Saccharomyces cerevisiae S288C: one gene and its partner. The protein of the gene in region 1 purifies or fractionates together with the protein of each later gene. This does not show direct contact. Each region holds a gene or a part of one and is shown in the gene's direction. Other genes may lie near its edges.

What was found. The genes of interacting proteins can lie anywhere in the genome.
Region 2: the proteins of MCD4 (region 1) and CUE4 purify together in Saccharomyces cerevisiae (affinity purification with mass spectrometry, with the first as the bait; one large-scale study listed by BioGRID). This does not show direct contact.

What each region holds. Positions count from the first base shown.
Region 1 is NC_001143.9:135,730-144,037, reverse strand, and holds MCD4 (mannose-ethanolamine phosphotransferase MCD4), read left to right. Parts: upstream 1-3,346; coding exon 3,347-6,106; downstream 6,107-8,308. Other genes in the region: PIR1 (beta-1,3-glucan linked protein), read left to right, coding at 1,219-2,244. UniProt on the Saccharomyces cerevisiae protein: Ethanolamine phosphate transferase involved in glycosylphosphatidylinositol-anchor biosynthesis. Transfers ethanolamine phosphate to the first alpha-1,4-linked mannose of the glycosylphosphatidylinositol precursor of GPI-anchor.
Region 2 is NC_001145.3:69,235-71,941, reverse strand, and holds CUE4 (Cue4p), read left to right. Parts: upstream 1-1,853; coding exon 1,854-2,207; downstream 2,208-2,707. Other genes in the region: TSL1 (trehalose 6-phosphate synthase/phosphatase complex subunit), read right to left, coding at 1-1,318; YML100W-A (uncharacterized protein), read right to left, coding at 1,631-1,804; CAC2 (Cac2p), read right to left, coding at 2,242-2,707.

The sequences.
Region 1 (8,308 bases):
CGGGGCCAGAAATCAAATTTAAAGGAAGTAGTGTACAATAAGGTCGATTTACTCCTTCAACTACTACTACATTCGGAAATGGTTGCTCGGTTCCGAATAAGGTCTCTTACGCTAGCTTCCCGGTGACCTTACCGATCTATGCCCGTAAAGTATTTTTGCAATTGTATTCTGTACAAAAGTTGTCTTTTGGATGCATTTTTCACACATTTGCATCAATGAAAGTCCGAATGCGCCTATCATCCCGTTGTTGTCTTAAGATTATAAGAAAGTACATGGGCAAAAACACGATAATAGTAATGTAGTGACTCCCGTTTAGAATAAAGAGCTGCGCACATACCTAAAATGGTTGCACATTTTAGAAACCTACTCGGTGGCACGTGAAGTGGTATACATTTAGTTAATAGTTAAATAATTTTCGTACAGAATATCGCACCGTCTCTTAGCATAACAGTGTATCTCACAATCTTTGTTCCTGTTACTAGAGCGAAAACTTAATGATCTAGTTATATCTTCTTTTGTCCCCTCTTGGCCCCTCAATAATGTTTTATTTAGCACCAGCACTTTTCTCATTTGGTTTTTCTTTTTTTTCTAATATATTCTGCCTTTCCTATTTAGGTAATAATTCCTCGAAGCCAGACGCCTTTTTCGGCTACTTTTTTGACAGCTGCTGCCCCTTTAATGAAACGGTTGGTCGAAAAGGAGTCAATGTATATCTCATATGAAATATGCAAAGCATTCCTGTCATCGGAAAATGACGTGGCTTGGAGCGCATAAAAATGGAGAGATCGGCCAGCTTGCTCTTAATTATATCATCATTTATTATTAGCAGCCTTTTTATGTCCTGCCAATTATAGAAGCAACGCTAATAAAAGAAATTGAGATGGCGGACGTAAATCCTTCTTGGAGCTCGATTACTTGCTTTAATAATACGATGGACCATCATTTAGCCCATGTATCTGAAAGGGTTTAGACTGTGTCCAGTCAATCTCTCCTGCCCAAATATTAGAACGCTGGTATACTAATTATTCTTTCAATAAGAAGATCGTAATGCTACAATTCTCACATATAAAAAGGAGCAAGATCTTTACTACTTTATGCATAGTTGTCCTATCTTCTCTATTACTGTATAAGAATAATATCATCAAGAAAACAAAAGTTAATACACTGGTATTAAAAAAAAACAAACTACAAAACTCCCCTAATAGTATATTCTAGAAAATGCAATACAAAAAATCATTAGTTGCCTCCGCCTTAGTTGCTACATCTTTAGCTGCCTATGCTCCAAAGGACCCGTGGTCCACTTTAACTCCATCAGCTACTTACAAGGGTGGTATAACTGATTACTCTTCTACTTTCGGTATTGCTGTTGAACCAATTGCCACTACTGCTTCCTCCAAGGCTAAGAGAGCCGCTGCTATCTCTCAAATTGGTGACGGTCAAATCCAAGCCACTACCAAAACCACTGCTGCTGCTGTTTCTCAAATTGGTGACGGTCAAATCCAAGCCACTACTAAAACCAAAGCTGCTGCTGTCTCTCAAATTGGTGACGGCCAAATCCAAGCCACCACCAAGACTACCTCAGCTAAGACTACCGCTGCAGCCGTCTCCCAAATTGGTGACGGTCAAATTCAAGCCACTACTAAAACCAAAGCTGCTGCTGTCTCTCAAATTGGTGACGGTCAAATCCAAGCCACTACCAAAACAACTGCTGCAGCTGTCTCTCAAATTGGTGACGGTCAAATCCAAGCCACTACTAAAACCACTGCTGCTGCTGTTTCTCAAATTGGTGACGGTCAAATCCAAGCCACCACCAATACTACTGTTGCTCCAGTCTCCCAAATCACTGATGGCCAAATCCAAGCCACAACTTTAACTTCTGCAACCATTATACCATCTCCAGCTCCAGCTCCAATTACTAATGGCACTGACCCAGTAACTGCTGAAACATGTAAAAGCAGTGGCACTTTAGAAATGAACTTAAAGGGTGGTATCCTGACTGACGGTAAAGGTAGAATTGGTTCTATCGTTGCCAACAGACAATTCCAATTCGATGGTCCTCCACCACAAGCTGGTGCTATCTATGCTGCTGGTTGGTCCATCACCCCAGAAGGTAACTTGGCCATCGGTGACCAGGATACTTTTTACCAATGTTTGTCAGGAAACTTCTACAACTTATACGATGAGCACATTGGAACTCAATGTAATGCAGTCCACCTACAAGCTATCGATTTGCTCAACTGTTAATCATAAGTTTACCTCTCATAGTCGCATGAAAACATAAAGTCATCGTAGCATATTCTGTACATTAGTCATTTCTGTCTCCAAAGGGCATAATTTGGGTCGGTTCATTTTTTTCTTCTTAATTCGTCTCTTCATTTCATAAAGCTTTCTTTTGAAACCTATGAAATGAGCTTTACAGTTCTTCACTCTTTTTTTTAAAGTTTGTTTATTTTTTTATACTATATACATTATTATTTCTAAAAAATCATTATAAATTACGTTAAAAGCGCACCTTATACTTTGATAGAGTTTTCCCAGAAAAAAAACCAACGAATTTGATAGTACCAAGACTTCACGGGATTGAAATCGGATGCAACTTCAACTATTCCTGGGACAGAATATTTCTCAGACATTACTTTGTGTACCGTGGAGCCCTTTCTCATTTGAGAAGGAAACAAATTGTTGTCATCTTATAATGCCATATATTCGTCACTATCTCAGTCAAAATTTAAGAAAATTGACATGCATATTATCATCCATTTAGTAGTATACGTGTTACTAGTATATTATCACACACGGTGTATTCTGTACACATAATATTATAGCCTTTAACAGCAATGAAATCCAACATTCCCCACAACATTCACCAATTATCCATGTAAATGAAAAGAGTTCTTTAATATTTACATGAGTAATTCCATTACGTTTCAATTTTCTATCCTTTGTAATCCGATATAGTGTAACGGCTATCACATCACGCTTTCACCGTGGAGACCGGGGTTCGACTCCCCGTATCGGAGTTTTCATTATTATTTTTAATCTAGCAGTACTAGCGTGATGTTAATGTTACTCATTTTATTTTGTTGAATCATTATGGTGCAGTACTTTTCATAGATATGTATTTCATATGTGTCTTTTCGTCCTAAACTACAGGATGTTAATCGTTGAATATGTATATGTTGATGCCACGTAAATAATATGTGTATTCTTTTTGCATCGCTGTCATTAAACGCGAAAAAAAAACCTTAAAGGTAAAAAGAACCGTTCTTTACTATATATTCAACAACCCATCTTCGACCAAAGCATTGAAGAGCCTTAGGACTCATACAACTGAAATCTGTAAAAAATGTGGAACAAAACCAGAACGACGCTTCTGGCTGTTGGTGTCTTATTTCATTTATTTTACCTATGGTCTATTTTTGATATCTATTTCATTTCACCGCTCGTTCATGGTATGAGCCCATATCAAAGTACTCCAACCCCTCCTGCAAAGAGATTGTTTTTGATTGTCGGTGATGGTTTACGTGCAGATACCACTTTTGATAAAGTCACTCATCCAGTATCCGGAAAAACAGAATTTCTGGCACCTTTTATTAGATCTTTGGTAATGAATAATGCCACCTACGGTATATCACATACCAGAATGCCAACTGAATCCCGTCCTGGTCATGTTGCTATGATTGCTGGGTTTTACGAAGATGTTAGTGCCGTCACAAAAGGTTGGAAGTCAAACCCTGTCAATTTCGATAGTTTTTTCAACCAATCTACTCATACTTATTCATTCGGTTCACCTGACATTTTACCTATGTTCAAAGATGGCGCTTCTGACCCAAATAAAGTTGACACTTGGATGTATGATCATACTTTCGAGGATTTTACGCAATCTTCCATCGAGCTGGATGCTTTTGTCTTTAGACACTTGGATCAATTATTCCACAATTCCACACTGAACTCAACATTGGATTATGAAATTAGGCAAGACGGTAATGTATTCTTTCTACATCTACTAGGTTGCGATACTGCCGGACATTCTTATAGACCATATTCTGCCGAGTATTATGACAATGTCAAATATATTGATGATCAAATCCCTATCCTTATAGACAAAGTCAACAAGTTTTTTGCGGACGACAAAACCGCATTTATTTTTACAGCAGATCATGGTATGAGTGCATTTGGATCACATGGTGACGGTCATCCTAACAACACAAGGACCCCTCTTGTTGCTTGGGGTGCGGGTTTGAATAAACCAGTACATAATCCTTTTCCGGTATCCGACAACTATACTGAAAATTGGGAGCTTTCGAGCATTAAAAGAAATGATGTCAAGCAAGCAGATATTGCTTCTTTAATGTCATACTTGATTGGTGTGAACTATCCTAAAAATTCAGTTGGTGAGTTACCAATAGCATATATCGATGGAAAAGAAAGTGACAAGCTTGCCGCATTGTACAACAACGCAAGAAGCATTTTAGAGCAGTACTTAGTCAAGCAAGATGAGGTAATAGACTCTCAATTTTTTTATAAGGAATACTTCAAGTTTGTTGAAAAGTCTCATTCACATTACTTAGAAGAGATAGAAACCTTAATTCAGCGTATATCTGAAGGAGAAAACTATTTGGAACAAGAAGCAATCACCCTTACAGAGGAATTAATGCAGATAACATTGGAAGGTTTACATTATTTGACAACCTATAATTGGAGATTCATTAGAACTATTGTTACATTTGGGTTTGTTGGGTGGATCTTTTTTTCTTTTATAATATTTTTGAAATCATTCATATTAGAGAATGTAATTGATGACCAAAAAGCGTCACCATTAAGCCATGCAGTATTTGGTTCCATAGGAATTTTACTAAATTGGATTTTGTTCTACCAACATTCTCCGTTCAATTTTTACATGTACCTTCTTTTCCCATTATACTTTTGGAGCTATATTTTTACAAATAGATCCGTACTACGTTCAGGTATCAAGGAATTCTTCAAAGGTACCTCTCCTTGGAAAAGAGTTTTAATAACAATCTCTATTATATCAGTTTATGAGGGAATTGTATATGGATTTTTCCATAGATGGACGTTTACGCTAATTACAAATATATTGGCGTTTTACCCGTTTATTTGTGGGGTGAGAGAGCTATCCGTGAATATATTGTGGATCATAACTAGTGTTCTTTTATCTACATTTACCTTATTTGACGCTGTTAAAATTGAGGACTTGAACCAGATACATCTAGCAGGGTTATTAATCATTCTCAGTGCCTTTTATGCTCTTTACAAAATACATTCCAGGATAAATTCCTACACGCGTGCTATATTTGCCATTCAAATTTCCTTGGTGGCTGCCATGTTGGCGGTTACTCATCGTTCAGTTATCTCTTTACAGCTAAGACAAGGGTTACCAAGAGAGTCACAGGTCGCTGGATGGATAATTTTTTTTGTATCTCTTTTTGTAATGCCAATTTTACATTATAGGAAGCCCAACAATGATTACAAAGTGAGATTATTGATCATTTATTTAACCTTCGCACCATCCTTTATCATTTTGACTATATCATTCGAATCCCTTTTCTACTTCTTGTTCACTAGTTACATGGTACAATGGATTGAAATTGAGAACAAAATCAAAGAAATGAAGACCCAAAAAGATGAAAATTGGTTACAAGTGCTAAGAGTTTCAGTAATCGGGTTCTTTTTACTTCAAGTCGCATTCTTTGGAACTGGTAACGTCGCTTCAATCTCTTCATTTTCATTGGAGTCTGTTTGTAGATTGTTGCCAATTTTTGATCCTTTCCTGATGGGCGCATTATTGATGTTGAAATTGATAATTCCCTACGGGCTATTGTCCACATGCCTAGGTATACTGAATTTAAAACTTAACTTCAAGGACTACACAATCTCATCATTAATTATTTCCATGAGTGATATTCTGTCGTTGAATTTTTTCTACCTTTTAAGAACGGAGGGGTCGTGGTTGGATATTGGCATAACCATTTCCAACTATTGTTTGGCGATCCTATCATCTTTGTTCATGCTTATTTTGGAAGTACTCGGTCATGTGTTGCTAAAAAATGTCATCATACAGGATAAAACCAAAAAAACACAATAGATTCACATACCCACCGCTATGTATATATTTTCCTATATGTATATTAAGAAAGACAGGGGCAATCTACCTGTTGAATAATTCTATAAATGCCTCAAAGGAGGCAAAATCAAGGGGAAATACTAACCTATAACCTTATTCAAGTTAGTAGAAATGTATCAAAGAAAATGTTCCTGTTTTTTCCGGTTATCTTATTATCTGCTTCTTTTAAGTTATGCCCAGTTAGTAGGCAACTATTGCGGAGAAAAGAATAAGGGAATCAAGGTCTTGGAATTCATTCTAAAAAATAAATCTGAAAAGAAAAAAATTCGGATATATAAGAAGTCTTTACACGTTGGCCACCGACACTGTACTGAGGTAAAAATCTTCTGTGATGGTAAATCAATGTGTTATTTTCCGATTGTTTGAAGACAGTATTTTATGTCTCAATTTCTCATTTTCGAACTAACAAACAAAAGAGGCATTTAATGATACTGAATTGAATACTTCAACACTCTCACGAGTTTAATTCAAATATAATCACAACCATAGTGGCCAATTTTGACACATTAAGGAATACATTACTTGAGCTTTGTCTAAGTACTATCCATTTGGAGCGTTTTTAAAAATATATAACTTTTGCCTTTATCTTTTCGATAAAGTACTCCTGTCGAAAGAAATGGCGGCAAGGAAAAATTTAAACTCATCAAGTACTTCAATAGCTTTATACTAGCAATTTTTGCTAGTGAATTTTTTAATAGCAGGTCTTGTAACAGCTATACAGCGAAAAAAAAAAGCACATCTTTGAAATAAATTACTATTCGCGTTCATTTTTCCTAATCACACCTAATAATGTACACAATCAGCAGTTTTCTCGCCTTAGCACCGGGTGCCCTTCCAATAGTTGTATTTACTAGTTTGAATCGAGAAACTTACCGAATTGTAGCGTGGTGACAATGCCAATATATTGCTCGTGAATTTACCTTGAAAGTTCAATGAGTTTAAAACAAGAAATGGCCATAGATTTTCATTTTTAAATGCAAAAAGCATTCGAAATATCTACAATTTGCACTAAAGTCATAACGATAAAAGCATTCACTGCCCGCAGGAAGACTAATTCCTTAGTTTTTGATGAAAAGTGGAATTTTTGAGACTTTATTGGTTTGGGTAGGTCTCTATGACCTGCCAGTCGTCGTTGCCAGAAAATAACGCAACAACATCAATTGCTTAAGGAGCGAAAAAATTGACGATTGTTTAAACTTTCCAAGATCTATTACCTTAGCAAGACAATTTCTTCTCTAAGTGAGCTTCGGGGAGTTACTTTTATAACCGCATACCATACTCCATTTAATGTCCCAACTATTTCAAAAGTTGTACATGGAGGTCCATCAGCAAGTATTTTTTTTTCTTCAAGCTATCCATCTCAGATAGTTCCCTTTACCGAGCTTTAGGAGGGATAAATATGGCAAATCTATCACTTATTCGTCAACAATATAGTAAATGCCGGCAAAATTACGGCCTACACAGCGAAGCTTGGACCACATATACTTATATGCCATGGTCCTAATTGAGTTCCTAGGTTTGTCACGACGGTGGCCACCGGCCGATCAACCGTATCATTTACTATTTTTTTCAAGAGGACAACGACTTCATTCTTCAAAAAGTCGTTCCAGGTACGAGTGATTTAGGAAGGTCTGAAGAAAAGCGACTATGCATTTTTGCAAAATTGCGTCAACGTTTCAGATACTCTCTGGTGCGCAAAAATGCGTTTATTTCAAGCCAAGTTGCAATCTTTATCAAAACTTGATATACATTAAAATACTCACTAATATATATATATATATATATATATGTACATATACATATATAGATTTATATGACGTTTCCGACGCATACTGGTGAACCACTTTCTTTTTAGTGAATAGCCTCATTATGCAGTTTCCGGTATTTTTTTTCCGTTGCTTCAGCTACGGGATTTCTTCGATGCCATTGAAAAATAAAGTTGTGTTCAATGAGAATATGGAAAGAAAAGACACTTTTTACCAGCTGATCTTAAAAGTTTTGTCTGCTTTATTACTTCTATCGGTAAGAAACTCGAGTGGACATACGAGACACTTTGTGCAGTCGTCGGAGAAAATTTATAGGCGATCACTCTTTAAGCAATAAGAAAGTTTCACGTATATTATTGAATAATACATTAATCATATTGTATATCGGTGGTTGTAC
Region 2 (2,707 bases), on another chromosome or scaffold:
TGTCTGGAATCTGGTAATGCAGCGTAGGCCACAAGATTTGTTTACAGTAGTTTTTGTATGCGGCTTTGAAGGTGTCGTCGTCCGTAAGGACAGGATAGGAGTCGTACTTGTCTTTTAAAGAGTCAGAGATGTTCGCAAGGATATTTTCCGGAATCTCATCCGTTGGGATTCCGACGGTACCGACCCACTTAACATGACGGTGCGGAATGATATTCTCCAAGACTGCAGTGTTTATGGCGTTCTTCATGGCGCCATTACCTTTGATAGAGGGAACGATCGACCATGGAAGACGGCTAAACAGCTCCTGAGATGACCTTAACAGCGCATATTTCTTAAGTTTAGATTTATTGGAATAGCCGCCGAACTTTGGAACCTTGTAGTCCTGCTTCGCGTCATCCATTTCCAAATCAGAAACATATTCCTCGTCAGGGGCAGTAGTTAGATCATCCGGGTCCGACTCATTATGCTGCGAAGACGTCTCACTCGACGAAATATCTGCTAACTCCGAATATTTCAGATTAGAAGGCTGTTTAGCCAATAAGGGACGCTGTTTTGCAGCAGACGCAGTCAAGTGGGGCGTAATCCTTTTAATGGAAGGTGGCGCAGAAGACCCAGAAGATCCAGAGGAGGCCGAACCTTGTTTGGTCCTATTAACTAAAGAAGTAGCCGCCGAAGTAGGCCTGTTGCCCGCCCTCGATTTCGGGGTAACAATGTGGTTGTTGGGTCCTTCTAGGCTAGTTTGTGAGGTGTTGTTCAACAGTGAGTGCACTAACAATGACTTGTTGACGTTCTTTAATAAGTTGGTCGTGGGGTCCTGCTGTTGCTGTTGGATTGGCGAAGCAATTCTCGAACCGGAGTCATGCTCATGCTGGATTGGCGATGCGATGCGATCCGTGGGAATATTGGAAGAAGGGGAGAAGAATCGTTCCACGGAACCATTTTTCCGGGGTTTAAGCATAGTCTTGCTTGTTGGCGTATGTGAGGTAGTTGCATTCGCAGTCAAGTTTTCCATGAATATGTCCGAAGAGACAAGATCATCTAAAGTGGCAGTATTTGTCGTAGACGAGGCGCGGTTGAAAGCACTGGGTGACCTGGTGGCACTCCTTGAGATTGCTGGGGGGACACCTTGTTCTGGTGCTGGCGCGACCAATGATTCCTGTGAGATGTTGTTAGAAAGCGCACGTTGTTGCTGTTGGTCATTGGCCATAGCCTGGATGTTCACGAGAGATGAGTCCACCTGCGAGTTCTCAGGGAGAGAGGTGTCAAGCTCGAATTGTGGTTGGTAGGGCAAAAACAAAGATGCCACGATGAGAGCCATTGTGTTGATCTTGCGTTGCTATTGTATTCTTTGCTTTGTTTGGTTTTTTAATCGACGGGTGGGTGGATGTGCAATGACACGGTAGATCCTTATATTTATAGTTACATTAGTATTTATATTTAAGCTTGGCTAGACGGGGGCCCCAGGGTGAGTGTGCTAGCCCCTTGGTTCTACCCCCTTCTCCTTCCCTAGGTAACTGACACCATAGCCGCTGCCCGGACCCCCGCCCCTTCCTATCTCCCTTCGGCGAGGGCGCCAGGCCCGCCAGCCGGACTTAGACACTTTCGAGCAAGCAATCCCAAATACGCCATATCAAAATGCAGGGGCGGGGTGACCCGCTTTTCTCGAAATTTCTATCTGGCCCTCTGTTTCGCCCCTTTTACCCTGAACGCGATTTTTGAGCGAGACGAGAAGAGCAGAAATTTCGCAATAAGTTACTACAATGGTGCCCGCTTTAGAATAATAACTCGGGACACATTTATACATTCCCACACACACAGACGAGGCACGGCTACCCACGCGCACAAAAGTAAAAATGGATGGATCGACTATAGTGTTTATACTGACGATGGTGTGCTTGTTTGTTTACACCGTGAAACACAGGGGCGCCAAGCAAGTACCCTCGCGAACCGTACAGGATGCCAAACCGGCGCCCTCGGTCGCCACCAACGACCCTTCTCCGGAGCCAGTACCATCGGCTCCGGAGGAACGCGTTGCTCGGTTAAACAGACATGGTAGTGATCGAAAGAGAGCCGTTAATAGTGACATGGTTGAAATCGTGATGACGATGGCGCCACATGTGCCTCAGGAAAAAGTCGTGCAAGATCTCAGGAACACAGGGTCCATTGAGCACACAATGGAAAATATCTTCGCTGGCAAACTAGATTAGGCATTCTTATGTACCGCATTAAATATATTAAAAATCACAAATCGACTGGCGTAGGATGTATGCGCCTCTTTTTACTATCGCTACTATTGCAGGGGATCTTCTTCACCGGCAGCATGTTCACGATCCCACCTGCCTCGCGCTGGTTCTTAGCCGCTACCGCGCTCTCGTCAGTGTCTAGTGGCTCTGCATGCATCGCTGGCGGCTCTATCCTTGAACCGAATTGCGTTTCTGTGTCGATCGATACATACGAACAGAATCCGTCTGTTGATGAGATTAGTAGGGTCGAGCCATCCTCAGACCATGCTAAATCAGTTATGGGTGAGTAATGTATATTTCCCACAACGCATAACGGCTCCAATACATCCGTGTCGTACACGAGTACTTCGTTAGTCGTTGCTATGGCAAATACTAGCTTATAGGGCAGCTTAAGCACACTCTTCTGGCACGTTTCGTAAAATACGGGCGAGAAAGCCGCCATCAGCGCTGGTTTCTTCAAAGAT